Drosophila melanogaster: one gene and its partners. The protein of the gene in region 1 interacts with the protein of each later gene in a biochemical or structural test. Each region holds a gene or a part of one and is shown in the gene's direction. Other genes may lie near its edges. The genes, in order: dlg1, aPKC and Sh.

Region 1 (10,698 bases):
TATCAACTCGAAGTATCCATTTCATTTCGCTACTCTCGTGTTTGTGTGTAGGCCAAAGTACGATTGTGGCAAACTGCGGGCAGGATAATAATAATAATAACCATAATAACCGGTACGTAATTCCCAAAGGTGATTGAACCCCACAGCCGTCGTGGTTGTTGCTGCTGTTGCTGTTATTATTATTATTATTATTATTCTCGTTGTTGTTGCTGTCTTTGCCGATGCGCGTTTCCTAGTTTCCAGTCGTTAGCTCAGTTTTTCCGCCTCCCCCGCTGTCACTTCCTTCCGCGCCCCAAACTTCGTCTGGCCTTCCGGGTTCGCTGTGTATTGACCCGTCTAGTTGTTCAATTGTTTTTTAAGTAATTCGCGTCACTGACGTCCACCACATTAATCAAAGTGCCTTTTGCCCGATGGCTTTCCCTCTAGTAGAGAACCAAAATGCACGAGGATCTCGACTTGCCTGTCAAAATAATGGACTCCACGGCAGTTAGAATTGTCGGTTCGGACATTTCCCCGATATTTATGGCAATTTATTTTATAACTTTCAACAGTCAATCATTTGTTGTCGAAGGAAATTGCATAGTTACGTACATTTCAACTGATTTGAACTTTTAGATCTTCCTTTTTTTGAATATTTACCTCTTTTTTTATGACGTGTGAATGATCTGGTTTCAGATCATTCAAATGTTTATTTTATCGCTCATCGCTCACATAAACTTTATTATGATTTGGTTTCTTGTTAATTTCCAATGTCGGGGGACTACCCTAAGCGAATCTGAATTGTGTGTTTGGCTTATTTATTTGATCTATAAACAAATTGGCCAGAGAGTTTGTTGATATCGCTTGGTAGGGCAGTAGAGCGAAGTATTGCACATGTTTGTTTGGAAATTATGGAAATATAAACATTTTATCTAAAAGCCAATACTCCTTATAGCAAACCAAAGGCAAAATAATAAATTTGTACTAATATATACCATATACCATTCCATTGGCTAGATATATAGATAGATATAAAGATGGAAAGATGGAAAGATATAAAGATATAAAGATATAAAGTTAGAAATATAGATAGTTAGAAAGCTAGAATGGTAGAAAGATAAACAGATAGAAAGGTAGAACGATAAATATATATAAGGATAAATAGATAGAAAGATAGAAATATAGAAAGATATAAAGATAGAAATGTAGATAGTTTGAATGATAGAAAGATATAATGGTAGAAAGATAGAATGGTATAAAGGTAGACAGATAGAAAGATACGTGGCCATATAGCCATATAGCATCTGGTATCTGGCATGGCATCCGGTGTACGAGTATATGTGCAGGCACTAATTGTTGGTCCGGCGAGCGGCGCTCGACGAGAATCGCTCGGGATTCTCGGTCGAAGAGAGAGAGAGAGAGTGAGAGAGAGAGAGAGAGGTGGCGGCCAGCTGAGAGGATGGGTGAGAGGAGGAGAGGGGGCGAGAGGCTGGCGATTGAGGGCCAAAAGCAGAGCACCGTTATTGCCTCAGTTGGACGTGTGTCTGTGTGCGGTGCGGGTGTGCGGAATTTTGGTCTTTCGACCTGGCCAATGTAACAAGTTATCAAGCCAAAGGCACTGCGAAATTCAACTCTCAGCATTCACTGTATTCGGTTCTTGCCTTGTTTATGAGTTCTTTTTTGTTCATTTTTTTTTTGTTTCAAGTGAAACTAGATCAACTGCATGGCAGAAATAAAAAACCATTTAGCTGAAATAGCAAAAAGCAGCCAACTCACACAGACTGGCGAAAATATGTGAATAAAATCGGAATCAGCTCGACAATGGCGATCGCGAAACAAGCGGGCAGACGAGAATTTCGACATCGCTGCGACGCTATTCAATTTTTCTTATTTCCCAAATATGAGTGTCTGAAAAAAAGAGTCAGCTACAGTGGTCACTCGATAATGGACAACGGTGTTTTATAATATTATAGGAATATTTTCAGTGTAGCATCATATTTAACTGATGCTGAAACATTGAATATACTTTACAATTCTGCTAAAATTCTCATAAAAATATTTGCATATTGAAGAATATGCTATTAATATTTGATCAATAGAAGTTAGATACGAAATACCACGCAGCGAGTTACCACTGTACCCATTTTGTTGCAATCGGAAGCGCATTCAACTGCGCCCGTGTGTGTCTGCAATTTTCGTAATTTTTGTTTTTTTTTTTTTTGTTTTTATGATTATACAACAAAATGGGTGCCGTTGAGAAAAAATCCAAAGGAGCCGTGTTCCTCAAACCTTCTCCACTTGTTTTTCTTTCGACTTTCAGATGGTGAATGCAATATAGAATCAAATCAAGTGAACGCGAAGTAAGCAAATAAACGATCTGAGTTTTTTTTTGTGTTGGTGTTGTTGTGTTGTGACGAGGAAAGTACGACATTTCGATGATAGTCGCATTGCAATATAAAGTGCAACATAAATGCTATAGAACCGAATGTGAATGTGAGGAGCCATTGAGCTGTGAAATGTGAAAATCGCAAAGAAATCGAGAGAAAACGCACACGTCAATGTAACCACAAAGCTGCCCCAAGAAAACGAAAAGTAAAATATATAAAGAAATTAAAAAATAAACTAGCAAACTGAAAGCGCAAAATTAAAAAAAAAACAACAAATCTCGAACTTTGTTCGAAAGCCAAAGTATCTAACAAAACAATATTTGTACATAAAACACCATCGAATAGTATATATATATATATACATATATATCAGATATATATACAGATGTGCTGGCGAAACTAAAAGGAGGAGAACTCAAGGAAAAGCCAAAGCGATTTTTCCGCACATTTCCACTCGAAAGCGACTCCAGTAAATTCTCAAAATTGCGACCCACGCTTTTCCCAGTTCGGCGGCGTTGAACCACAATCAAAGCTGCTGCACCACCGCCATTTCCGCTGCCATTTCCACCAGCACCACCATAAATAGTAGCAGAAACACCGCTCACAGAATGCCAGTGAAAAAGCAAGGTAAGCGAAAAATTGCACTTTTATTCACTGCCCACCTTTCCCACCTTTCCCTCCTTCTTCTTCTTTTTTTATTTTCTGTTCTACATATCTGTCTTTGGCATTACGTGGAAATCCATTCAATTGAATGGACCTTATGAATGGTGGACAGTGAAAACTGTTTGCCAGTTTTCAGCAATTGAAAAAGTAGTTTAAAACTTAACACAATGGTTTAAGATCACATTTTACATAATTCTATGCATAACAAATTTAGAAAAATAACCTTAACTATTGTGAAATAAAGTTAGAACCTATTAAAAAAGCTATGTCTATGCAAAACTGCATTGATTTGCTGGTGAAAGTTTTAAGCACCATATAGTATATAGAAAGTTGGCATTAGTTTTTCAATTGTAATTTTAGTAGATCATTTAACTTTTACGTGCTGCGCAAAGTTAGCCAGCAAAGCTGCTTCCAATTACACACGAGATGGCACTTTTGGCCAAACAAACAATGTATCCAACTGTGCATTGGAAGCTATGCAACAAAAAAAAAAAAAAAAAATACATAAAAAACCAGCTAAATTAATGCAGACAAAGAATTTTATTTGATTATGTCACATACAAATCATATTTGGGCAACTCAAATGGCCAACAGAAGAGATGAAATGAAATGGTGCGGAAGGGGGAAGGGGGAGGGGGAAAGAGAGGAGCCGCAGCAGACGGAAAATGGGAAAACCGGGGAAAAGCGCTGCCAGCAGCCTCGCAAATGGTCAGTGAAGGTCAACGTCGGCGTTTGACGCGTGCTGAGGACATCAAACTGCGGCCACAGATACAATGTTCATTTAGATACGAGTATGTATAGTTTGGTTTGTGTGCTCTGTATGTGTGTGTGTGTGCGTGTGTTTTGGGACCATAATGCGACTCGATTATAATAATAAATTATGTGTTTAATTTTTTGGCAAACGCGGCACGAATGACAAGCCAGCGACGGTATGGCACTTGACCCCTGACCTCTTCGCATGGGGACATCAAACTATGCGCAGCAACACACAACTTCGTTGCTATTCAGATTTTCAAGTTAAAGCATTTAGGATGGGGAATTTTAGGCACACACCCTTCATGGAAACAAAAAAACAAAAAAAAAAAAGCGTTAATAACTGGCGTCCGACAAGCGGTGAAAAATGTTTAAAAAGCGTCAATCTTTATTGATTTATCGGCGGTAGCAGCCACCAAACTATAGAACCATAATAGAGCTCAAAAGTCTAGCCAGTTGAGTGCGGCACTTGGGCGCGAAGAGAGGTGTCTTCTTGGCTGGTCCTGGTAATGGATTCGGATACGGACTCGGAGCGGGAGAAGAGCAGCGATCCCAACGAGGGACTGCTCAGTAGCGATGACAAGACATTCCACGACGATGATGAACCGGCGGAGGATTCCTCTCCGGCGGACGATGAGGAGGAGCCCGAGGAGGAGGAGTGCCTGCTGCCGCAGAAGAAGGCACAGATTCGCTGCGACCAAGACCAGCCACCTTTGGTGGTCTTGGTACAGCCGTCGGCGGAAGCCATAGAAGTGCGCCAAGAAATCGATGATACCAATCCGGTGGCAGTAGCTGCCAAAGCTAGCGATATGGATGGGGATTCGCAACTGGAGGTGATGGAACACCAAATGGAGACCGTAACCGAACCGGATCCCGAGCCTCCGAAGTGTCCAACATCCCTGCGCGATAGTGTCCGCGAGTCCGTTGAATGCTTCTATTCCGCCCAGGATCTTCTCGAGTACGGACACATGCTGTCCTCCACTTCGATGGTCCGAACACCGGATGTGGAGTCTGGCTACTTTGAGAAGTCCGAGAGCGATGCTTCGCGCGACGAGTGGGAGGGTCCGTCGTCGTCATCCTCGGGCGCAGCCCGTTGTCGCCTTCTCTCCGGCATTTCCGGACTCTCCGTCTCTTCGTCGAGTCGCCACAGTGCCGAGGGTTTGCGCATGGAACTGAGCCGATTTCGCACCATGATCGAGACTCTCGAGCGGGAAAGTCTCGAGAAATCGCAATCGGAGCTGCAGTTGAAGGCCAAGAGCAAGGCGAAGCCAAAGCCCAAGCAGAGATCCCACGTACAGGATGCGGCTGGGGAAAGTGGTTCGGAACAGGGTTCCGAGAGGGGCTTCTGGTCAACGATCTTCGGCCAGGCGGGTCTGGCGATCAGTCAGGATGAGGAGGAGCGCATTGCGGACATACAGAGTAGGCACTAATCCAGTGGGGAAAAATGGGCAGGCAGAATCCCTTGGTCTTTTGGGTTGATTTCATAATAAAACAATCGAAGATCATTTGTACTAACCATATTCTTTTCTCTATATATTTCAGAAGCTCATCGGGCTCTCGAGCTGCTCGAGGACTACCACGCGAGACTTTCGGAGCCGCAGGATCGGGCGCTGCGTATTGCAATCGAACGCGTTATACGCATATTTAAATCTCGCTTGTTTCAAGCGCTGTTAGGTGAGTAATCGATAATGTATCGATTAAATCGATGAAAATATCCTATATGTATATCTTAGACGCTATTCGCGTCGCTCGTAAGTTTTTGCCTTTAAAAATATCTAAATAATTGCCGCTAGATAAGTGCATTTTTGTGAAATACTTTATTATATAGGTCAGTGTGCTAAATAAGTTTTTCACAAGTTCGTTATAAGCAAGAGCCTTAACCAAGCTCATCATCATCGTCTATTGATTCTGAAACTTTAAACGCAAACAAAGTTGCGAACTTTGTGCCAAGATTGTTAGAAAGTAGTTGATGAGCCGGAAAGAAAGATCCTTGAAAAGTAGTTCTTATCTGTGCAGTTGTCTATCGTCCATTGCCTATCGCCTATCGATTTTCTTGTCCCTCCCCTCGCGTTGCAAATTATTTTCACTTGACAAGCAAGCAGTGAGCACAAAGTAGCAACAAAGGGAATTGCAGCAACAGCGACAGCAAAACGATAATATTGCATAGGATTTGGGTCAAATAGACCAAGCAGCGCAGCGCAATGGAAACAGCAAGCGTCCCATAGTAATGCGGCTAATTCAGCTTGTTTTTTTTTTCTTTACCGACTCTGGTTACTCAAAAGGGTCGATAGACGGCCTGATTAGTGCTCCAGTTGCATCATGGAGTGCATTTTGGTGGCATATGGCGAAGGAGCCATTGATTTTCACTAGCAACTTGTTGGTTTCCCTCATATTACCTATAGTCTCAAGCTTAAGATGAACCTAATTATCACTATAACTAAATACTTTCCTATTAAGAAAAGTTAATTTCCCTGCCATTGTTGCCTTATCATTGTATATTTAAGCAGTTTTTTAAGCCGTTCCCATTTATTGAGACATTTTTGCCCAAGATTTGACAGCTTGTTTTTCTCATTTGACAGTTTTGTCTGGATTAGCTCTTAGCTACTTTTGGATTTTTGGCAGCACTGTTTGCAGTACACTTTTTTTTTTGCTCGCCCATCTTTTCTTTTTTTCAGCAACGTATCCGCCTCTCATCTCTCTCTGTCCATATGTCCATCCATTTCGAGACGGGCGGTTGGTTTGCAGTTGTCTGTTTTGTGGGTCTTGCCTGTTGTATAATTTGCAAAAGTTCTGCTCTACCGCCGTGCTCCATCTCATTCTAGTCCCCTATGGCTCTCTCCCGCTCGCTCCGCGTCTCGCTCTGTGACCCCGTCCCTTTCTATTGGACCCCTGGGTGCAAATTGTGTTGCCCGCTGTCAGTGGCAGTTGCATAATCCTTTTCGTTTCGTTTCGCTTGGGTCCTCTCCCCCTACCTCTTTCCATTCTTCCCATTGTTTTGGTTCTTCTTGTCCCTATTCCTCTTGTTCGGCGTATCCCGCTGGTGCTTCCTCTTCTCCCGTTATCGTTACAGTTTCAGTGGCTGCGCTTGGCGTGTCAGAAATGTTAAACGGCTAACAAGCACACACAAACTCAAATGCAAACAAGCCAAACACGTGACACGTTAGAAAACAGGAGCTTTTGTATGGCCAAACACAAGGGTGGACCTTAACTTAAAAACTCGCAGGGTCGCACTTCGACAGAACATGATCAGTCACGTCGCTCTGCTAGTTTAGAAGGAAAGCTAAACTAAATTGAAGAAGAGAGTTTTTAAACACGATGCCAGTACTTGATTTTTCTTATGATAGATATGGGTCACATGTATTACGATAAAAAGAGTTCACAGCCTTGAAATCAACCCACAGTTAAGGTCCACCCAAGGGAATTTGAGGTGGTGTATGCATGTGTGTGCGTGTGAAATAATTAACAAGGTATTAGCCGCATCCCAAACACCCGAAACGTATGTGTGTGTGTGTGTGTTTTGGGTATAGTATCAAACTTGAGGTTAGATTCCAGTCTCTTTCCGTCTCTTTCCCGCTTTTGTTGAACATATTTGCATTGAATCTGTTATGCTGTAATAACACTGAAAACATTTCAACTGCGTTTGAAAGCACTACTACTGTGCAACCGAATAACACTGCGTATGAGTAATATCGTTGGAAAAACTATGTTTGGGCATCAGAGTTTGATTTTTTTTTGCCATAGTTTTTGGCTTGGTTCTCAGTGTTGCACAGGCACCACAATTGACACTCAAGTTGAAGCGAAGGATAGAGATAAGGATGCGCCAGGGGTTGTGTGCGGGACGGGGGGGGGCAAAAGGTCATGAAGAGCCATGTGCGGGCGAAATCCCAATTTAATTGGCCTAGAATTGGAATCATCTGCAGCACACTTACATTTACATACATACACTAGTGTATATGTTTACGAGTGAGATACGATTGCGGTCAAGCGAATAAAACCACTATACGTGAGATAAACTGTAACAAGCATAAGATATTAATTTTTAAATCTATACGCAGCTTACTATAAGTCAATAAGTTATTTGCTACTTTAAGTTACATAAATTGTGATTGAAATCGCTGCTATTATTATCCCCTGCTATTGTAAATGATACATACATATGTATGCAAATATATTGTGGATACTTTTGAGGGGTCTTATCGATTTCCTGGAATTCCCCACAGCGAGATGAAGATAGAGAGAGATGGTGTAACCTGAAGTTTAGCATCTCTTTTTCAACGGCATTGGCATTCAGCTGAGGCCAGCTAAAAAATGTGGCCGCAATAAAAAATAAAACAAACACAAATACCGATGAAAAACATGCAGAACACAAATTGAAGGCACACAAATAATGGAGGAATGAAAAAAATAACAATGCTTAAAAGGGCATTTTCGGGAAAGCATTCTAAAGCATTCGATAACTCATTTTGAGTTCAAGTGGCCGAATCCATTGCATAACGTGGTACAGTGGTCTCTCGATAAAATACAGGCAATTCTCCATTGAAGATTTACAAATTTTAAGCAACTTCTTGTATATATGCTAAGCTGCTTGTTTAATCGTAGGGCCAACATATATTTTTTTAGGTATCTGAAGCTTGTAATAATGTTCGAAAACGTTTTCGAAAGTTTCGTCTGCTTGATTAATATTAGTAGGGTGTTTCTTTTCAGCTTTGCAAATTTGAAATATTTAGTTTCAAATTGCCTTGCACAGTTCCCCCGGGAAACCTTTAGTTTCCCAGTGAGCTGTACTTTATGTACACACATTTCAATGACTGCGCGTACTTTTCCATGCAATATATTGGTGGCCCAGCAATGCCCCATGGAATTACGTGCTCTCTCTCTCTCTCTCTCTCGTTCTATCCGACCAGCTGTCTCGCTTGCTCTTTTTGGGGCTGCCCTGTTTTGGGGCGCAGGAAATTAAATGGGCGCCATGGATTTCGTTTCAATTTTGCTTCTTTTTTTTTCTCCCTGAAAAGTCGGATTTTAGTTTCCCCCATTTGGGCCACTTGACTGCTGTTGAAGCGAAACATATTGGCAGCAGCATATGGGTATATTGTGTGTTCGTATAAGCACAGCCACACCCCCAACGCCCATTCCCTTCCGCTGTCAGTGGCGGCGTCAGTTTGCATTGAAATGTATGCATTCGAGATGCATTCTGACAGTTTCTGATTTCCGCTTCCCGAGCAAAAGCTGCTCGATGCCTCCTATGGCACTGCACTAAGCCAACAATTAAAGCCCATTTCACACCGACGGACAATGTGAATTTAAAGAAGCTGGCTGGTTTAGTGGAGGATTAAATAATGTAATATCTATGAAACAATTAAGGCGACACTTGATTTTAAAAATGTATGTAAGCATTGAAAAATTTTTGAATTCAATATTTACTGATTTGTCTTTAAAGAATGATAACATCTAAATGTTATTTAACTTATGCATCAAGTTGTTTAACTTGATTTTTCCGATCACTCGGCGGTTGGTTGTTGCATTTTTCTCAGTGTACTTTCGCACCACAAGTTAACTGCAGAATGCCAACAAAGTTTTCGATCCGTTTGTTTATTCGTTCGATTGCACTTTAGTTGCTTGTTGTCGTTATTCAATGTGTTCAACTTTATTAACCGCAGTGGCCCCTTTTTTTTTGTTATTTATTCCCTGTTTGTTTTCACAATCCAAGAATCCGTTCTGGTGTGAAGGAGTTATTTACTCAGCAGCTCTCGCTCGAATTTGAGCTTGATTTTTTCCTTTTCCGCTGAGTAGGCAATCAAAAGCAAGTTCGATTCGGAAATATCGAAAAAAATACAAACAACAGCCTTAAAAACGGTCGATAAGCTGCCCATTTGAATAGAGTTTCTTCTCGGAAGGAACAATCATGTGTGAGGTAAGCAAATTTGTATTCCGATTAAATGGCCAAATTGTCTAACTCGTTGTCTTTTCTTTCAGAATTGAAATTGAAAGAATTTGAGTATTGGAAGAAAACTTTTTATCTACACGCAAACATGGCAGAATTTGCAGAAAACGCGTCATCAATGACGAAAAATTAAATAATATTTATGAAGTAGATAGAAAGAGCAGAGCTGAAGTATTTGTATATTGCAATACAAGTCTATTGATTATATATTGATAGCATATATTAAATACATATTAAATTTAGTTTTTTTTTGCTTGTAAAAATGTATGACATTCTCGTGTCATTCTGAAACGACAGAAACCTGCTCATAAGATGTTTTTAAAACTAAAATTGAATATTATAAAAATGTAGAATAGAAACAAGAATTGAATATACTTCAAATGTAGAATGGAAAACATCTTTGTAGCGATACCTGTCTCACAGAAGTATACAATATTATATAAATATATTTATACATTTAAAAGTGGAAAGTTTTTTCTGAAAGCTGAAATAATGTTTACTGCTGAACCATGATTGCTCCTTAAACTAGAACAAAACAGCGAATAATATAAGAAAATAGTTTTAAGAATTATAATTATTATACTCTTATTAATTATGTATTTCCTTCAATTGCAGATATACAAGAATTCTATGAATTGACATTATTGGATGACTCGAAGAGCATACAACAAAAGACAGCGGAGACCTTGCAAATTGCAACCAAATGGGAAAAGGATGGCCAGGCAGTCAAAATAGCTGATGTGAGTAGGATCTGTTTGATCGAGGAACTTAAATTGTTTTATATAGTATTTATAAATCCTGTGTTTTTTGGGCCGAAAGTTAGTGCTGGGGAATATGTAAAACCCAACTAGTGAACTTATATCCACCTGTTTACACCGATCTTATCTTTTGAACATCATTAACTGTCATTTCGTGAAACGTACTTATTCTGCTGCAAAATTCATAGTTATGATTATTCATCCATTCATTCATATA
Region 2 (10,698 bases), on another chromosome or scaffold:
GTAATTGTTGCTTTTGTAGCTTAATGAATTTCACGTTTTTTATGGTTTTTTCCACAAAAACAAGAGACTAACAAACGGCATCAAACGCACGCAGACACATCCACTCGCACCAAAACTCACTGTTTGTTGTCTTTATTTTATGTCTACGACGCGCGAGTAAAACATAAAAACCAGATTAATTTCAGGCAGACGAAAATGTTGACGCTTTTTTTTTTGTTGGTTTCTTTTAAGCTGAATTTCTTGCTCAGTTGTTGTGGTCGCGAGTGCTCTTTTTTATTTGCTGAGCCGCCATTTTCTTTTGTGGCAATTTGTTGAGTTTTATTTATTTTTTTTATTTTCTCAGATATATTAAGCACTGCTTTCTTACTTTGTAATTATAATCACTTTACTTTGTTGTGATATCCGTACTTGTGATATATTTCGTTTTTGAATCTAACGACAAAAGAACGGGTTTCCGCTACAAACGTCCGAACAGCGGAAAAACGAAAACAAAACTTAGTGTGATCGCAGCGTGGCTGTTGGAAAATACCTCATTAATAAAACATCGATTGCACACAAAGTATTGACGTATCGATGTTTTAGTATTTTTGGGTCATCTGCTCAGTTTGTGTTTTGAAGTTGATGTTATAATCATCAAAAAATAATGTCTTTTGTATTTTTGCTTTAAATAGTGTTGTACGTACAACTTTTTCATTTATCACCGGTCATAATTGTTTTCCACCCCTGAAACCGGTGTGGAAGCTCAAAAATACCAATTATTTAAAAACGACCCCTAGCAGTGTTGGTAAACATGTTATTATTGAGGCACTTGCAGCACTCCCTTGTCGGTATTTTCTGTGCTGTCACTTCGCGTTCTCCGCTTTGTGCTCTCCTTCCACAACGAAATAAACGGAGAAATAGCAATGTTAGTTTTAATTCGTTTTAGCCATAACAATTAATTAAACGAGTGCGAGTGCCAGTGTCTTAATTAAAATGTATGTGGCGCACTGATTGGCTTTAATTTAAATGTTTCGTGCTGTTTGATTTGTCCCCTGTGTTATATTTGTGCGGCGTTTTGTGCATACTTTTTGTGGTTAAATAAACTAAAGGAACCAGTGTGAGTCGATTACTAAGCTTAAGCTTATTAAAAGTGTTAATGTTAAAAAAGCGGCGTCTTAATTGAAAAATGCTAATGAGTTAAAACAGGTTGGCGACTCTCCTGCTCGCTCTCGATGCCCTGCCTCCACTCTCTCTCTTTCTCGCTCATTTGTTGCACTATTGTTGTTGCGGCCAACTGGGTACTTTTAACAGTTACCTTGGTCAATGTACGGCATTAATTACGCTCAAATACTTAAGTACTGAGATGCCAAGTAAGCGGTGAAAGAAGGAGAGGCGAGGAGTAAAAATAAACTAATTTGCACACTCGCTTTGGCGTGCTAATTCCACTTACTTTTCTTCTTTTATTGTTTTGTGGGCGTTTTGCATGATTCACTCGCGTTTGTTTTGTCTTATTCGTTTTATCAACGTCTACGCATTTGGTGCAGCGCAAGCAACAACAACTACCTGTGGCATGCAGTTCGTTTGGCGTCTGCGTATGTGTGTGTGTGCCTCAAATGTCAAAGTTGACATTTGGTTTTGGGCGGGATTTCAAATTCGTGGGCAAAGAGAAAACGATAACAGAGAGAGCAATAGAAATTCATAAGTTCGTTTATCTATCAGATTCTGAAGATAATGCTACGACACTTTACAGTTAAGCTTCTACAAAATAACAAATCCTTAAAAAAGTTCAGTCAATGTATAAATATAAATATATTTCGCCACTAATAGTTTATTAAAATATATTTTTTTATTTAAACTAGAAAATAAAACTTACTTTTAGCTTAATTTGTAATTGTAAAATGTCTTTTTAATTTATTTTACTGTAAACCGCTTCGTTTTTAACTCGTATCTATTTACTCTTATTTTTGCAGTTTTCTGTTATCAATCTGTTTGTCTCTGTGTGTTACGTGATATCAAAATATTTTACCCAGCTAGCAAATGCAGAAAATGCCCTCGCAAATTCTGAACGACGGCAGCAGCGTCAGCTTGAATAGCGCCAGTATGAACATGGCCAATACGCCCAATAGTATAACGGTAAAGACCGCCTACAATGGCCAGATTATCATTACCACCATCAACAAGAATATCTCATACGAGGAGCTGTGCTACGAGATTCGCAACATTTGTCGATTTCCTCTGGATCAGGTAAAATATATATAAAGTACTGCACGTTACAGAAGTGTAATTCATTGAGCGTTTTGTTTAGCCATTTACCATCAAATGGGTAGATGAGGAAAACGATCCCTGCACCATATCAACGAAAATGGAATTGGACGAGGCCATACGACTTTACGAAATGAACTTCGATTCCCAGTTAGTCATTCATGGTAAGTCTGCTCAAAATTTAAAATTGCAAAGATACGTTAGAGTAATAAATAAAAGAAAGTCGAGTTATTGGTTATTATTGGTTAAGGAATTTCGATTGTAATTTAAGTTCGCTTCTAAAACTGAAAACGATAAACTTATCTAATAAGGTCAGTAAACTAATGTGAGCGGAAAGCACTATTAAACCAAAGTAAGCCTACTGGTTATCTAGCAAAAGATACAGTATCTGCATTCACAGAATTACTCTTCTTTTTATTTTCAATTCTCCAAGTTTTTAAATGATTTACTGCTGCCGCCGCAAGGTAGGCAGCAAGTAATTAATTAACCAATCGGCCACACATTTCGTCTTCGCTTCCATAACTTAAGCAGGCACATTTAAGCCTGATTAAACAATGTGAGCTCGTCTTGTTGGCTCAATAAACTTGAGTTTTCCCCGCGAGTTTTCCGGTTGCCTTTCTGCCTTCGCAGGCTGCCAAAAGGCAGCGTCATCCACTCGAGTTAATAACATAAAATATTAATTAACCCGTACGAACACTCGCATGCTCGAAAAGCTTGAGTCTTGTGGCAATTGCCTTAGGCAGTCAGCGTTCTTCTACGTTTGTTCACTCTTGCCTACCTCCGACTTATTTGCATATAAATTCTGCTTGGATCTTGGCTCGACGGCATCATTTATAATTCATTATAATTAAATTGTTTGCTTCGTGTGGGTTTAAGTTTTCGCCAGCTTTTTTTGGAATTTTAATTTTCCTGTTGTGCGGTTTTCGGCGATCTCACTCATGCACACTCTGATGCGAGTTTTGTGCTTAATTATGCCTGCCGCAACAACAAAAAGGTTTCACTTACCACACTCGTTTGGCGAATGACAAACACAAAACCCTTTTATACAGTAAATTACTAAAAAAACGAGGGCCTGAGGTTAAAGCATAATAAACAAGGAATACACTCTTCTTGGCTACGAATGTAGGACATTTTAGTTTTATTGGGTAAGATACTTAAACTGATACTTAGTACCCAAAATTGTTTTTACCATTTAATTTTATTGAGTATTAATATCCCTTGCAAAGTGTAGTTCTTATTCAAATTTTTCCGAGTTATCCATATATCCTTAACCATTTCATACCTGTGGTCATTCTGTTTTTCCGAACACCGATATGTAAAACAAGAAAAAAGCCAACTAACGGCCCAGCAGATATGATAACTGCCAGTCGCACTAAACAAAGTTCGTGGCTGGTGTGGGGTTTTGATGGAGAGGGTGTTACAGTTTCCGCTACCCTTTTTATGCGGCTTTGTTTTTGTTCTGGGGAGCAGGCTTCCTGATATTTTGTGGCCAGTCCACATCTTCACATATGTACATACATATCTCCGAATGACAAAAAAGAACAGTGTGTAAGGACAACATGTTGGTTGTTGTTGTTGCATACCCGGTACTTTTCAAGGGGTATGCTGTATTCGTTAAAAACAAGCGTACTCCAAGTTCTTTATTCATCTATTTTTCAGGACATATCCCAAAAATTATGCTACTTAAATATTCAATTGCCTGGTAGTGGGTAGCTTTTCTGTCGCAACACTTGACAGTCTCATTCTTTCTTGTTTTTATTCTTGTGTTATGTGGCCACGTGTGAAAAAATGCGGCTTAAAATGTATTAAAAGTATTCTGTGTGCGTCTGTTTTCCTGCGACTGTGTGTGTGTGCGTACGGGAGAGGGACATTGTCAAGGTATTACGTTACCGTTACACGCACTCCTGCATATGTTAGGATGTCCTGTCTGTGTGTTTGTATGCCGCACATGTTTTCTGTTTGTGTGCTTATTGTTGTTGTGTTGATTAGTAAATGGCTGTTGGTGAGTGTGTTTTGCATTTATACAAGCCCGTGTTTTGACTTCTCTGTTGTTGCTTCTCTTGTTTTTTGGTTTCGTTTTTTTTTTTTAATTTTTTCTTATGTTGGAAAGTGTGTTTCCGTAGAACTTCGCTTCACCTTCCGGCTTCATCTCCGCCCAGCAAAAACCTCTGCAGCTCTCCCAAAAACAAAGCAATACAAAAAGTTAGAATCTGTAAGCTAACGGTATAATTTATGCGCCTGCAATATGGCAACGCTGTCCGGCACACACTCACACACATACGCATATGTACATGAAAAACTTTTGTCCAGGTCCGAAGAACTTTTTTTGCAGCTCATAAGGTCGATACACAAGATGCCATTACCCAAGAGCGAGACAGCGATGGCCAACAGAGAATAGATGGAAGGACAGAGAGAGAGAGAGAGCGAGAGAGCATTTCCCCAGATGCCACAAAAAACAGCTGAGCCAAAGAGAAAGGTATTGCCATCCATTGAATCTAAGATGGCAATGCTAAAGCGCCGGTCTGCGGCTTTTATTTTCGCTCTCTCTCCAAAAGTGAAGTATATTCACAAGGCCACGACAGGCTGTTTGGAGCTAGAAAGAGCGGGGAAGGGAAATTTTCTTTTTCCAATCCTTGGACGAGGACTGAATTTTAGTAACATCTGCCCCACTCAGTTCCGGATCATTTGGATCACCTTCATCCATCGAAACGGATCCGGAATTGTAATTTCAGATTATAGAATTCTTACTTTACTCTTACTCTGTTTACGTGTTGGAATAAAAAATGTTTTTAAAAATTATATTTTTCATTTCTTCATTTTCGAGACAGTCATAGCAAAATAGCTTACCTAAAATGAATTGTTATAAAATATTTTTTTTAATAATAATTTTTTTATAGTCATTCATTAAAAACGTCTACTAAGAAACTACTAAAAGAACAAAACATTTTTTCTCAAATTATCTAGTTTCTTTTTTCGCTCTTGCTCTTTACTTTTTCCATTCGCCGAGACTCGCTCTCAATAGCTTTCTCCATGGCTTTCCGCTACATTCTCCCCGAAAAATTTCCCTAGCATACTTCTCTGCATCGGCATTTCACTCGCGCGTTGGCCGCTCGCCTGTGTGGAAGTGCCGTGCGGATTTCGATTCGAAGATATAACTCCCCGGGCCTTACAAACAAATACATAATTATAGATATATATATACATATACATATATATGTATACAAATATACAAGATTTTGCACAGCTAAACGGCAAATCGAGTTTCTGCGCTGTGAATTAACAAAAGAAAGCGGAAAAATCGAAGTTGTATGTCGGAAAAGGAGTACAAATCAGTGAATAACATAATTCCATATAATTATTTTCTTAAACATTTCCACTCGCTCTTCGGCAAGTCACGAAAATCTTGCGGAAAAAATCAATTGGCCCTGTGCAATATTTTTTGACTGTTCTGCCGAAGTTGTCGTACATTTCTGATTAGTTGCCATACAATTTTCCGCTGAGAGAAGGGGTCGGAAAATGGGGAGGTGGAAAGGCAATGGACGTGGAATGATTAACATAATTTTGTGAATGTTTCTTTAATGAACGTTTTTTAGTGCTGCTAATGAAGTAAAAACTTTATGAAAGAGTTACCCCAGAGATGTGATGGAATTTATGACCGTATCTCGCAAAATCAATATATTTTGAAAGATTATAATTTACCCCTTTATAAAGTATTAATAATAATAATTCATTCTTGTTAAAAAAAAAATTGAATATAAATATGGTTTTTTAGTTTCTATTAATAAAATCCTTGCTTTTATTCACTTTCTTAAAGTATAAAAACGTAAAAAACAAAACGCAGACAAAAACGCAGGTGAAATCCCACACACTAAGCATTTTTCTTTTATATTTTAAATACCTCAGTGCAATACAATTAAAGTTCTAGAACGCTTTAAAAACATACCATTTCCTATGCCTCTATCATTTTGCACTTAGACAAAGGGGAGCAACCACGATAAAAAAATCAAAGAATTGATTTCCATTTTTGTGGGTTCCCTTACACTTTTTCTGCATCACGCTGTTCACTTTTTTCCCAAATTTTTTGGCTGCTGTGCGCCAGACACTGGCAAACAAAACCACACACACTCGCACACTCACACACACTTGCAAACACATATGACGCAAAATGAGGCAGTGTGTGTGTGTGTGTGCGAGTGTGTGATGGTGTGCGAGAATCCCCACCCTAAACTTGACCTCAGGCATTTGCACTTCATCAAGCGCTTCTTGCACCTCGGCGACCGTCTGGTTGCCCAAACTTGGCCCAAACCGACTATACTATATAGACGAGATGGATCCATTTCGTATGCATACATACATATATGTAAGGCATATATGCACATATACTATATATATTTATGTACATATACATATGTATATAATATGAGTCAGTGGGCTAGTAAGAAGCTGCAGGGCGAAACAATTTCTTTTTATTCATTCTTTGCGGAAAGCGTTTTGCTGGCCAAGCTGTCGCCCTGCCATTTAAACTTGTTCGTTTCTTTTTGGCCCGAAGGCTTTCACTCGAACCAGGTGTGTGTGCGTCTCCTTTTGCCAAAGTTAAATCAGCAAATTTCCACTGCTTTTTTGGGTACCCTGGGGTTCTGTTTTTGGTCTGTGTTCCTTTTCTTTTATTTTAGGTTTGCCTATGCAGCCTCTGGCAGATTCGGTACCCAGTTCGCTTGCTAGCTGGCCCCATTATGATTGTTGGGCAAATTTTAATGATGCCATTGGGCTTAATGAAATTATTGTTAGTTCAGCAAACAAGAAAGCCCATTTCGGTATTGTTAGGGGATCAGTGCAAATGTACGGATGTGGGCGGAATTGGTTGCTGGTCATATGTATATGCCTCATTACGGATGCCTATATCATATCGTTGATGCAGAGAGAAAAAGCTATAATTATATTATATTATTAATCATACAGTAAAATGTACAACTTTGAGGACCTTATGCTTAAACTTTAAGCTTTACGAGTCTCAATACTTACATTTTATTTAAATTTGTTTAAGTTGCACATACACAACAGTGTCAAATTTTTCTAGATCCCTGAAGCTCGATTACTATCTGTTTAGCTCTGTTTTAATATAATTTGTATCCATCCATGAAGTTGTTAATATTTATAGAATAAACTAGCGTCTTTATTCACGTTTTAAGGTACATTTCGCAGATGGGCATTCTTTCTGTAAGTGGGAACTTTATGGCATTTCCATTTTGCCGCTTTTCTCTTTTTTAAGCTGTGTGAAATTTTATATCCACTGGAGGTCGAGGTGGGCGGCAGGTGGCAACTCGCCCCGCTTGACGTCACTCGGAAAAGCCAAATTGATGTTTAACTATTGATGCCTCTGGTCCGGAGTATCTGGTATCTGTTGGCCCAAAGATGGTGCCGCAGTCCTTTTGGCGAACATCGCCTGCTCAGGTTTATCGTTATGGTTTCACAGGAAACCCATCTCCCCAAACGCTTCTTTGCCAAAGTTCAAGAGTGGGCGGATGATTGAGGCGCTGGAATGGTCAATAATTCGTGGGCGTGGCGGGCTAAATATCCAAATTTGATGGGTTTCTGATGTAAGCAGTCGTGTGCTTATTTAGGCCATTGAAATTCTTGAATGAGGCCGTAAATAATAAACAATAGCTATTGGGAATATCTAATCAATAGCTTTTTGCTTTAAAAACGCAGCTTTATTGATATTAAACATTTATGGCAGCATTTTTATTAGGCCATGCAATGCAGTGAAAATATATTAAATTACCGAAAACAAAAAACAGAAAACTTAACTTAATCATGTAACAAATTGAAATCAAGAAGTATAAATAGAATAGGATTTAAAGACATCTATTGTGGGCACTTTCCCTATGCAGTAATTAACTAATCGGCTTAAAAACTTTAAAACAAAGCGTGTACTTTAAGCTTGTTAAATAATTTTCTTGTTTGTAAATCAGCTTTAATCTAGCTTAGAGCTGTGGGATTTTAGGACTTTGGTTAGTCCAACAAAAGAGGTTTCTATGGATGGAGCCAGGAAGGCTTTAGTGTAGGTGGCTGGACTGTTGGGTTGTTTGGGATGCTCTGTTCCCATCCTGGACAAACAAGCAGGCAACCAATATTCATGCTCCAATTGCAGAGAAAACAATGCCGGCGGAGTGTTTATATTTAGCAAACGCTGAAGCATAGTGCCAGTGCAAAAGAGGGGAATGGGGCTAGGGAAAACGGGATGAGTTGAAGGGGACTGGCTAAATTTAATTCGAAAATGCATCAGATCCTCTTTTTGTGCACACCATTCAGTCACCAGAGACTGCATCATCAGCAGATAGCGTGGAAAACAAAGAAAATGCCGAGAAAATGAGTGCCAAACAAAGGGATCTGCTTGCCTTGTCACGACAAGGCTCTTGTGTCAAGTGGATGCTGTCCACCTAAGGACCTCGCCACCCCCTTTTTCGACCCACTTCGACCCTCGTTAATCATGCGAATTATGCATGAAAGTGGAGTGCTTAATTTCAATTGTCTAAACAACAAGCGATTGCGATGTGACCTACCAATACACTTGAAGAAAATTTTCTGTTTACACTTGACTGCATCGATGGGTGGGCTTTTGCCCTGGGTTCGCCTTTCACTGGAATACAGTGTACGCTCAAGAGAAAGAAAGTGTTTAATCACATTATAATAGTTTGGGATACTAACTTCTATTAGCATTACTTTTCATAACATAAAATATATATTTTTATGTTTCTATAATTACCCATCTCATCTTTTGAATAAAAACCTTCGAGTTTACTGCACAGAGTCTTCACTGTACATGGCTGAAATGTAGGAATGGCAACAGAAGATTGCATACTTAAAAGGGCGATTGCGAGCAAATTTCCCTGCGCGCGTCGACCGATTTTCTCTCTCTCTCTGGATTTTCCTTACCTTCTCTGGCGCTTTCTCTCCCACCTTCTCAATAATTTTCGCTCGCTCTTGGCTGCCTTTCACGCCTTTGTCAATTTGCAGCAACTTGTGCGCTCGTTTGACTTGGGTTAAATTGTTTGTGATTGTCGCAGCCGTGTGTCTCTGTGTGTGTTACCAATTTCTCCAAGCAACTGTTTCTTGTGTGTGTCTGTGTGTGTGTGTGGGTGTCCTGACAGAGTTGTCAGCTGTTCGGCCTGCATTTCTCTCGGTTTCCCCGCTCGTTTCTCTCTTGTCTTTCCCATTATTACACAATTTATATATTTTTTTTAGGTGTGGTTTCTGCGGCGTCTGCAACCGGCCACGCCCATAGCCAAACGCCCACCTTCCCTATCCCCATAACCCCTCTTCCATCGCCCAACGCCCTTCTCACGGCCATATCCTTGTGTGTGTCTGAGTTTTTCTTTTAATCAATCATTACGAACTGCGAGATCAGCAAAGTGGGCGGAGTGGGGGATACGCCGCCTGTCGTTTGGCTTTGAAACTTTGCATTGCATAGTTTGGTGCGCCATGTAACTGTAATTGCAACTGGGACCTTGTTCCGCTTTCCTTCGCGATTTACTTTCTCCGACCACCCGCTCTCCCCGCGACTCAGTCCCCACTGAATCCAATTTTATATACGCTCCACTTAAGAGGGGGGTTTATGCTAAGTAGAAATATTGGTGGCACTTAGTCAAGCAACGCTGGCAACGGAGTAAATCAAGTTGAAGTGATAGAAAGATTGAGTTATAACGATTTCTTTGCGAAAAACAAACAATTCTTAAATATTACAAATCAAACATTCAATGCTACTTAATCTTGTAATGACCTTGATAACAAAACAAGCTGAAAAGCAATGGACATACGAAACTCGATTTAGAGTACAACTTTCAATTGTGTCTTACTAGTTCCCCCACGTTAATCTTGTGCTAATTAATCGCAGAATCAAGTCCAACGCAAACGAACTTACAAAATAAGCAAAATCAAATTCGAGCAAAATCAAAACGAAACGAAGCGAGAGCTTAGTGAACTTAAACGCAATAAACGCGACGCGAAGTGAAAAATTTGTTCAAGTAAACCAAAATGGCCTGGGGCTATTGGTCCGCCACGACTGTGGATCGTGGACGATCGCCGCGCCGCCTGACGCAATGTGCACCACTTCCGGTCAACATCGTGCAGCAGGAGGAGGAGGAGGAGCAGCCCTGCCTGCCGCAACAGCAGCAGCATCAGCAAACGCAGCAGCAACAGCAATCGCAGACCTGCCCCAGCACACCGTCGGCCAATCAGCAGGGCAGTGGCAACTTGTGCTACAGCCCCACCTGTCGATCGCGCTGCTCGAGTCCTTGTCCGGGATCTCCGTGCGGCTCCATTACGCCGCCACCTCCGCCGATGCTCACGTCCTCGCAGCAGCACCTGCATTCCAATAAGAATTGCCCAGCGGCGCAGCAACTGATGACCCACTTGGATTACGCCGCTCGGAGACAATCGCTCGACCAGCTGGATAGT
Region 3 (10,698 bases), 6.6 Mb from region 1:
GTTTAGTTTTCGATTGTTGATAAGGCAAGCAGATTTATTGGTTTGTTTGTTTTCACGTCTGAAGAAATTCCAAAACTTAATGATTGTTTGTCAAAGTTATTAATTAGTTTAGTTTAGTGCAGACATTAAACACTCAATAATTTTGTGAAATGAGCACAACATTTTCACTTACTTGCAAGTTTCAGCTGTGGATAATTTGAGATTATTTAGTTTAGTTTAGTTTTGTTTACTCGCCTCGCTTAAAGTTGCAGATGTGCAGTGCTGTATAAATATTTGTTTGTTTGCCAGTTGCAACACAATTTGCTTAACTTAATTGAAACAAAGAGTTAACTCAGTTCAACACTCTGAGGCAGGGTCAAATGCTGTCCGAATCGTATTAACTGTAAAAGCTTTCCATAGTCCTTCTTTCACTACGCTACGTTGCGTCCAAACATCGCCCACATGGCCCGCCCAACCCACTGGCCATTTTCCACCCACCTCCCCTTCCCCGCGACGCCGCCTAACCATTTTACACGTTTTCCCGATGTCAGTGTGTCAGTGTTACAGTGCCAAAGCCGGGTCCATGTCCGTGTTTTTGTGCTGCTGTCTGTGTCCGTAAGATGCCGACATTCCACGAAGCCTTTCTCCCCCTCCCCTCTCTCTCTCTCTTTCTCACTCTTTCTATCTATCCCTCTGTTTGGCCTTTGGTGCCATCTCTTTCTGCTGCTGGGTAGAAACGATTTGGCAATTGGAACACGGCAGCACATTCACATTTTGGACCGCGCTCATTTCGCGGCATTTTCGTTACGTATACGCAATGTGAGCCGGAAAGGTGATGGGGAAAAATTGTTAAATTAAAGCGAAAAAAATTAAAGAGAAAAATATAGTAGGATTTTTCGAACAGATATATGGAAGATTGTGTGTGTATGTGGGATTATTTAGAACAGAAAGGTAATAATTTTGTGCTATGTGTATGTGTGTTCATGTGCCCCCTAGTTAACTGCCATCGATGGCCCGGTGTTTCCTTTATTTTCCCTGTCTCCGGCCAAATGTAAACAAATTTCAATAATGGAAAAAATGCGAGCAAGGAAAACTGTATGTGTGGCAGTGTGTGTGTGTGTGAGTGTGTTTAAGTGTGTGTGTGGGGGTCAGGCGCATGTCTGCAGCAGAAGAAGGAGAGCGATTAAAGCAGCTGTGCGAAGTTCTCGTTTTATTTACATTTATTAATATTTTCGTCTTTTTTCACTCACTTTTATCACTCTGCGACTGTGTCACTGTGTGTGTGTGTGTGTGTGTGTGTGTGTGTGTGGTTGGATGTGTGTGGCTTTGCTCTTGGGAATTGTGGCGTCACCATGGCGTATGCGTAATATTTTGTTTTGTAATTATATGCGCGGCGGGCAAACGAAAATTTGTGTTTAATTAATTAATTGAAGCGCAGCAGCAACAGCAGCAACAGCAGCAGCAGTAGCAACAGCGGAGAAAGCGTTTTTAGTTGACCGCGTGGCGCCAACTTGAGCGCAACTCAACGGCAGCTGCCCCGCAGGAATGGTTATTTTTTTTTTTTAATAGTCTACATATACACCTAATGTATATGCGTTTGTTTTTTTTTTTCTATGGTGCTCAGTCCCAAAAACAGCTGCTTGCCACAGCTGAGTGTGTGAGGGTGCGTGTGTGTGTTTGTGGAAGCGAGATGGGCATATATAAATAGAATTCTTTCCGCCAAACAACAAAACGACCTTGCCGCCAGAAAAACAAAACGGAATGAAACACGCAGCGGCGGCAAGTGATAAATGGGATGCAAGAATCTCAAATAAATGTATCAATTACAGTTTTCTTTTTGTAGTGCCCCCATAAGTAGGCTATACGTTTGCCCCAAAGTGCATTCACTTAACAAATAAATAAATAAACAAACAGCGGCAATTGGCAGCAACATGTGGCCAAAACCGCAATGCCAATGCCACTAAAATGTAATTGTAACAACTGAAAAAACCAAACCGGCAATAAAAACGACAAAACCCACAGCAAATCAACCGCAATCATCGACGACAATAAAATCGACAAATAACAACAATTCAAAGTGAAATGAAATTTTAGTTTAATTAAAGGGTCGCCTAGCTGTGGATCATCTGGGCAATTGCACTTGCTTAATTTAAATATACCGCATTCAATTTCTTAGCCAGTTCATTTCAAGTTTTAGTTTGTTTGTATTAATGGAATTATAATGAATTTATAATCAGCAATGAAATGAAACAAATTCCAAATAAAATCCTTTAATACATGTAAATTAATGCATAGAGTTATTTTTCGTTAAAAGAAATAATTGATCTAAATTTCCGATCAGAATAGAATGATATTAAACATTCGTGATTTTTGTAGCTGCTTTTCGAAGTATACATTTTCTATAATTGTTTGTGCATAGTCAGATCTGCGATGTGCCCAGATCATCGACGAGGCCCCCAAAAACCGATCAAATAGAATGGCAAACCAAAATAATTAAAAAGTGATTAAATAAGTTAACACCAAATGCAAATGATCTGCAAATGGCAAACAAACGAGCAGACGAGCCACAGACAACGCTTCCAGGTCGTGTGCCACCTTACGTTCGTGCAGCAGCAGCAGCGAGTACAGTGAGGCAAAGCTAACAGCGACGCGCGATACGCAACGCGGGATTATCGGCGCCCGAGAGGCCAGGAGCGGCCCACTCGGTGGCCGTCATGCAGCTGCAGGCGGCCGGGGCCCAATTAACCAGCAGCTGCATTTAGCTCACCCATTGAGCACCTAGCAAACACATAGAACACATACAGTCACATACTAGACACGCACACACGCACGTACACGCACACACACGAACACATACAGATCCAATTAATTGGCAAGGATTCAGTGAGCTCAACGAAGCAGACCAGAACTAGAAAACCGAAACAGAAAGCCAAACCGAAACTGTTACAGAAACTGAAACTGAGACCATGCAGATGATACTTGTTGCTGGCGGGTAAGTGAAAAGACAAGTCCCAACAGCCCACAATCCACCCCCCACCACCACCTTCCGACTATCCTATCCAAATCCAAATGCAAATTCAAATCCAAATCCAAATCCAAAGCCAATCCAGAATACGCAACCCTCGATGTGATATATGTGCCTCTGTGTGTGTGTACTACTCGGAACTACTCGTACTAACTTAACTGCAAAATCTGAATTGTGTATGTAACCCATGTGTTTACCTAGCCGGAATAAAAGTTGCCAAAATCATATTCTTTGTATCTATCTTTAGCCGTAAGCCTTGACTTGATCGGTCAGTTCTATATGCCAAATCATTCTGTATAATCATGCATTAATAGTACTCTAAATGCTTATTGTTTCGCCTTATTTGCCATTCGCACTCGTTGCCGCCAAATGCCTTTGCTTGGCACATGTATCTAGAATCTATAGATAATGATAACTCGTAACTTGTACTGTGTATTGTGATCATATGCTGATACATATACATTTAACAATCTGTCTAATCGCTGTTTTTCTTTGTTTCCTATTTGCAATACTCCACGATACCCACGATGACCGAACTCGATATGAACTAATACCATCAACTTCCAGGTAAGTCACAAAATACAATTATCTAAATTGGAAGATTGTGTGGGCTTAATTCTATAAGGATTTTATGGAAGATAATCTAAAATCTTAAACTATTATTGGTAAAACATTAAAACAAGTGTATATATTTCTCTGCAAGCATTAAGTCATTAAATAGCAAATGAAAACATGAGGTGAAATGTCATTTAACATTAAAAATCTAATTTTCTGAACTGAAGAATTATAAGTACTGCAGCGACTCTTAGAAGATTGCTCAAAGAGGCTAAAGTATCCAAAATGTTGACAATAAATCCCAATCATTCAAAACCTATAGAGTTTAAGAAACTAGTAAGTGCAACTGTTAGAACTAAATGAGCTTTTATTTTTAAACCCAAAAGACGTTCTTATTTTAGTTTATTAGAAAGATTATAACATTTTCTGGATAACTTCGTCTCATTAAAAAAAAATATTTCAATAATATTAGCTTTTCTCCCTTCAATAAATTGTAAAATGCTATTTGGTAAAAACTATTAAATTATAGTTAAAATTTCACAAACGGTTGTATTTTACAACCTAACCAACTTATTCTCCAAATGCTTTTGTGTGGCTATAAAAGGTTTGCGTTCCGATAAATTTTCGTCCAATAATTTTTCAACGCAAAACCTGCATTAGCAAGGACACCAAAGCTTAAAGCTTTTCTGATTTTTTGAAAATTGAAGAGCTTAAAAGCTTGACTAAAACACAATTTCTGATTTGAAGAAAACTTTCTGATAGCTTTTAAGCTGGGAAAACAAATAGCTACGTCAACTTTGTTGAAGCAGAAGCCAGAGCTTTAAGCTGCGCTTTATCCAGCTTTCCGTGGCCCTTTTCTCTCGCTTTCCCTTATGTTTTCCTTTCCGAACTTTCCCATGCTTTGTTTGGGCGCGCGTTTGTGTGCGTGAATGTGCCATGTGTTTATTTATTAATAATTGCATTACTCATACGCCACGCCGTCCCTCGCTGGAAGCATGGCGTTCAAGTGCACACGTGACACTTATATGCGTGTGTCTGTGTATTACTTGGGAGCCTTTACATGGCCATGTGTGTGCGTCCGTATGTGTGTGAGTGTGCAGTTATTCGCATTATTATAATCAAGTGGAGCCAACAAAAGGGAAGCGAAGGAATAGGCTTCGGAAGGGGGGAGCATAACGAGCCCGGCGGCGTTTTAAAGCACACATTAATAATAGAGGAGCACACCTTTGCCACCAAAGGGTGGTGGTGATGCGGTGGCGAGTTGGAGGGCATGGGGTTGTGGCTTTTGTCGTTTCTCCTTCGATTCGATTTTCTCTTGCTCCCGTGTGCATGTGAGTGTTAGTGTATGTTTGTGTTTGGTTCATTTACAGTTTTCACCTAGTTTTCGTGTTTCGGTTGTTTTGCCTTCGGCCGCCGCCTCAGCGGCCCCTAGCGGCATTTGCTTTGTTTGACACCGCCACTCATCCCCGCCGACGGGCCCCCATTTCCAGTCCAGCCAGGAGCTAGAGCTCCATCTCCAGCGGACGGTGCCCGAGTGTCGCCAGAGTCGCCAGTGTCGCCAATGTCCCTGTGCCCATGGTTCCCGCTCTTCTTGCTCAGCCATGTTCACCCAGGCTACTCTTTGGCTTTGTTGTTGCGGCTCTGCTTTGTTGTTGGTTTTCATTTTATTCATTTCGTTTCTTTTTTTTTTTTTGGTTTTGTGTTTTTTGGGCCTCCTCTGGTCGCCGTGTTCGTGCCAAGTGGCACTAAAACTATTTGCCTTTTGCCCAGTTTTCGTATGCCTTTGGCCAGCGGGAACAGGAGCGGTACCTGCCACACAGCACAGTACAGAACATCGCACATCACACATAGCACACACTCGGCACACACAGAACACAGCACGCAACACGCAAGAGGCGCCATCGGAGTCGGAGTGCAGCAGTGGAAAACTCCGTATAGCTTTAGATATATAGCTATACGATCCAGTCCGCTGACAAAGCCGGAGCCAATGCAGCAAAGCAAATCGCACGTGCTCGCCTCGGCCCAAAATGTTCGTGGCGAGTTCGTGGCGCCCAACGTGGGGCGTTCGTGCCACCGCATTTGGCTCGGCTCGTAGTTCGGCGGTTCTTCTATCGCCGGACACTTTTGCAGCGCCTCAGTTCGGTTCAGTCGTCGCAGTCGCAGTCACGTCGTCACAACGTAATCGTGCAACGCGTTCCGCGCTTGGCGGCGACTGTCGTCAGTCAGTCAATCAATCAGTCAGTCAGTCAGTCAGTCCGTCAGTCAGTCGGTCAGTCAGTTAGTCAGCCAGCTAGTCAGTTAGCTAGTCATTCATTCAGTCAGTCAATCAGTCAGTGTGTCAATCTGACAATTGGAGTTTCTATCCAGACTTCAATATTTTTTTACCTCGCTCAAAACCCCCCACTCGCACTTTAAATAATAAAAAAAAGCAGGTGGTGCGTGCCGCGTAGCCGCGCGTGATTCTTGTTGTTGTTTTTTTTTTTTCGGTGAATGTGAGTGTATGGTTCTCTTTTTTTAAATGGTAACTCTTGTTGTTATTGTTATTCCGAGCTTGGTGCGTGCCGCAAAATTCGAAACACAAGGAGAAACTCCATTTAAAAAAGGCGTTTAAAACAGCTTAAGAAGCCATTTAAGCACCCTTCCACGCGCCACAGAAAAGGGATGAGAAGAGAAAAATACACCAGGACATGATCAGAGGCTCCAGGGGAATCCTGGAGTCCCTCCAACTGTATCGCCCTATCTCCGACTGTTTCTGTGTTTGTTTACCTTAATTAATGCACTGGCAAGCGGCAAATGGACCTGGACACTGCCAACATAATTTGCCTAGGGGGCGCCACTCGAATCTACACTGCTGCAGCCTCCGGTGGAATGATGATTCTGATGGTAGTGGTGGTGGTAGGGGATTGTCCACGCCAACTTAGCCCACTGCAGGTCGAGTTAATTAATATTTCACTCTAGTTAAGGGGGAGAAAGTGGAAAATGGTAGGGATTGGTCGGGTGAAGTAGGTTGAAGTAGGGGTAAGAGGCACCAGTGAAGTTTTGCTTATATAAGCAACTTCAATTCCTATTGCCTTGTGCCATTTCCATTCCCATTCCCATTCCCACTCCCATTGCCATTTCCATTTCAGTGCAATTCGAGTGGCCCAAAAGAGCCAGAAGGAGCAAAAGCTGTAGCAGTAGCCTAAAGAGAAACTGGCAAATTGCTCATACGACGCATTGGCGCCGTCAAAAACTGAACGAGCCACAAAAGCGGAATGAGGAGTGGAATGAGCAGCCGAAGCTGAAAGAAAAACAAGTTGACCCAATTTACAATTGTAAATCAAACTTAAAATCACAGCCAAAGTTAAACAAAAATAGAATGGTGGTCAGTAGCAAGAAGGGCAGGCATGTTTAATTTACAATAAGACAGCCTCAAGGATCGAATTCAGAGATCAATTGAATGCCTCGAAATTAAACTGGGCAGTGGCCTTAATATTTGACCACAAATGAAGGCAACGTATAAATTTTGTATGTCAAAAACAAAAACCCAGAAACAGGAACTGCATTGATTGGATTAATGGCTTATGTTTCGTTGCTTCGACCGTTTTCTTTCCATTGTCATAGAGAGCATATATAAATAATAAATACACGGGCTTGCAACACAATTGTGGGTGAAAGCAGGCTTTTCCAGCAATTCGAGCACCTCAGTATGCAGTGAAAACTAAACAGATGAACGCAAACATTGGAGTAATTATGTTGGGGATTTTGAAATGCATTCATTTTGTGGTTTCATCTTTCAGCAGAGATGAGAGGTTTACCATAACTTTGCCATCCGTATTGTTTGGCAAGTCACTTGGATATCTAGGAAAACTTTGGGCCTTCCGCCCTTCGCTTTCCACCAACCACCCAGTTTTCCCATACAAATTAGTTTGGATTTGGATTCTCGCTCTGTTCATTAATTTGTCTAAGAGCAGCTGAGGTTTTTCCCCGTATTACAACTTGAGCACTTGGGCATGTGAGGTTATTATTCAGCCTCGTCTTTGTATTTTTGTTTAAGCTTCTTTTGTTTTCGCTCCTCCTATTGTTTTCCTCTCTATGTTCCCCGCTTTTTTTACGCCTCATGTTCTCATTGTATTTGCGATTAAATTCAAGTTTGACTCGCACACGCCAAAATTAATTGGGCACTTGAAAAGTTGAACAAGTCGATCGAAAGGGGGGCGAATGGTTGCAGGGGCTAGATGTGCCGTGACGGCTCGACAGCTCAGCCTTCTGTTAACCCTTATCCACTCAGTGGAAAGTGGCAAGGGGAAGGAGAATGGGTGGGAAACCCCTTTGTAATGTTCTAGGCAACTGATTTATTTTGATTGAACTTTGCATGCAAGCAGCTGAGGCAACAGGAAGAACTCCTGAGCTTTCGAGCAACAACTGGCAAGTGAAACATCATAAAACAAAGCCAGTTTGTGGTTGAATACGAATACGAGCACAGCCGCAGGCTTGGTCTTGTTGATGGGTTGGGGGGGGGGGTCTGGTTTTATGGGGGGGTTACTACTAGATTGAGGGGATCGGAGGCCATTCGCACGCACATTGCCTGGTTTTTAGGCGGCAAGGCTTAGGCTTAGCTCCAGCTCAATCGTAAATGCGTCGAGTGTGGTTCGTTCTTCTCCGCACTCTTAACCCCTTTGTGCCAAAGCTGCTCGCCAGTGTGCCAGTGTGTCTGTGTGCGTGTGTGTGTGCAGGCTAAGTGGTTATGGCAACAACAGCGCTAATAAATCCCCTCTGCACACGCCTCTGGTGCTCGCTAAGCTCTCCTAATGCCACTGAGGCAACTCGGCTTTGTCTTTCGAGTTGAATTTGCCCAGTATATGGCGCATATATCGAGTGCCTTTAAAGTGGTCGTCTGTCTTCGCAAAAACATCAGCAGCTTCCCTGATTGAATGGTGGCGAATTTTTATTCTTGCCACAACTCGATATATCTGCCAACTGTTTTGCTCCATTTTGTCTTTCCTGCCACGCTTGGCCATTTAGTTTTGGCCCAATTGCTAACTTACATATGTATATATTTATGCGCATATGTTTGCGGTCGGGCATGAACACACACACTACAAGAAAATTTGGCCACCAAAAATATGCACAGAGTCGTATTTTATATATGCTATATACTTGGTGACTTTATGCCTCATATATATATATATATGTATGTAGTATATGTCTTCCGCAACTATAAAACATTTAATGTTGCAGTGAGACTTTCTGATTTCCTTTACAAAGTTTTTAAAACTACTTTAGGGGCTTATAGAAAAAAAAATGGCAAATACTTGCTTTAGTATGCACGTTGATTTTATTTTACTAAAATGTAACGAAATGTTCCAATTAAATGAGCCTTTAGATAGTTGACCTTTGGCAATCCCGAACTTAAAATTGCCAGGGCTTTGGGTGATTTGTGTTAACCTGAATTAGTTCTCAGTGTGCCATCTATCTATGGATATTGTAAATTATTCGCCTGGATCCGGAATCTCTTGCCAGTGGATTTTGGTACTCCGGCCAGAGGCTGTGCAGCTCGGCTCCGAGAAATGTGAAATGTGAATTTCGAATGGCAAATGGCAAATGGGGAATGTAGGAAGTAGAACGGAGAACGGAGAAAGGAGAAAGGAGCACAGAGAACGGAGAAAGTTACGCACTGCGGCGATGGTTTTTGGGCTTTTAATATGCTGTCGAGAGGTGGAAATATGTGTGTGTATGTATGGATACACGGCTGTGTGTGCGTGTAGATTGCACGTGCGCTGCGTGATTTTAATTTGAAACAAACATAGCCAGAGCACCCAAACACACACCAATTTTGCGTTCCTTTTTTTTAAGGTTTTAGTTTCTTCTCTACTCTTTTTTTATATTTAATTTTGTTCATTTTTTTTGTGGCCCCGGCTTTTCACAGTTTTATTTGGGTTTTCCGTTTTCGCTCGGTTCTCATTCCTATGTTTTTTTTTGCCGTTTTATTTGTTTTTTTTTTTTTTTGGTAATTCTTTTTACGACTCAACAAGCAGCAGAAGTATAACAAACCAAAAAGGAAGAATACAAACCAAAAAAAAAAAAAAATAAATAAAGAGAAAACAAATAGGGCGGGTGGCACAGAGAGAACATTTATTGATCTGCGGCCGCTTGAAGCCAATTTGAAGGTCAAGCATACGCACCGTGGTACCTCCGAGATGGGGCCATCTTCGCAGTGAACGAGTTTTGCAGTGTTACATAAAAATATGCAAGCGGCAACCAATTTCCCTACACCCCACCCCATTCGCCACCCCGCTCGTGACGTCATGGTAAATTATTTTCAAATTTGCGCCCAAAGGCCAAACAAGAAGCAGCTGTGCTGCACAAAGCGGAAACGGAAGTAGCAGCAAGGCGACAGGAGGCCACAGCACGGCAAACATAGCATACTTTTCAGGGCTCTGTGGGTGAAAGGCCGTAAGGCTGTACGAAGTAAGGATGTGCGGATTGGAGGACTGAAGGCTCCCAGGCTTGGAGCCTGTAAAGCAGCGACGACTGCAGTTTGGCTCCCGCTGCTCCGCTTGTTGTTCCGTGTCAAACATTTTCATCCACTTGTTCGCATTATCCTGCCAGACAGCGCACAGCGGGCGAGGGCATCAAAAGATGCCGCCAGCAGCAGTAGCAGCAGCAGCACAACCAGTGGCAAAAATTGTTACAATTGCCGTGGCGCATGATGGTTACGGGGGCTGAAAGCCAAATCCGTGCGAGCCAAACGGGCGAGAGAAAAATGAAAAGAATAAAATGGCAATAAACAGGCAGGAAAATGGGCCTGATAATGCGAGAGCTATATACACTTTGCATGCCATGCTATGCGATTGAAGCTATTAAAATTCAAGTAGTTCACTTTTCCTTTACAAAATCCTTGTCCAACCAGCTATGCAAATGGGTTCTTAATAATACGTCATTAGTTCATTGATTCAATCTAAGGCAAGAGATTAATTGACCCTTGTTAGATGTCCCATCTAAGTCGATAAAAACTTCAAAATAATCTCATTTCAAAGGTGTAATTATTTTGATAAAATCAGCTCAGCTGCCTTTTAAATTCCACGTTTCGTTTCGTTTCCTCGCTTCAAACTGCGAAAAAATTGATATACCTACAAACTCATAACCAACGATTGAAT

Evidence for each region.
Region 2: of the proteins of dlg1 (region 1) and aPKC, one has a biochemical effect on the other in vitro, tested with the Drosophila melanogaster proteins (one study listed by BioGRID).
Region 3: the proteins of dlg1 (region 1) and Sh form a complex in vitro, tested with the Drosophila melanogaster proteins (one study listed by BioGRID).

Annotation. Positions count from the first base shown.
Region 1 is NC_004354.4:11,371,518-11,382,215, forward strand, and holds the start of dlg1 (discs large 1), read left to right. Parts: upstream 1-4,245; 5' UTR 4,246-4,291; coding exon 4,292-5,201; intron 5,202-5,324; coding exon 5,325-5,456; intron 5,457-10,338; coding exon 10,339-10,463; intron 10,464-10,698. UniProt on the Drosophila melanogaster protein: During embryonic development, some isoforms are essential for proper neuronal differentiation and organization. Required for cell polarity; maintenance of apicobasal polarity.
Region 2 is NT_033778.4:14,953,093-14,963,790, reverse strand, and holds the start of aPKC (atypical protein kinase C), read left to right. Parts: upstream 1-5,334; 5' UTR 5,335-5,547; intron 5,548-10,135; 5' UTR 10,136-10,275; coding exon 10,276-10,698. UniProt on the Drosophila melanogaster protein: Serine/threonine protein kinase which is required for apico-basal cell polarity in the germ line as well as in epithelial and neural precursor cells, for epithelial planar cell polarity and for cell proliferation.
Region 3 is NC_004354.4:17,985,687-17,996,384, reverse strand, and holds the start of Sh (shaker), read left to right. Parts: upstream 1-5,705; 5' UTR 5,706-6,051; intron 6,052-10,698.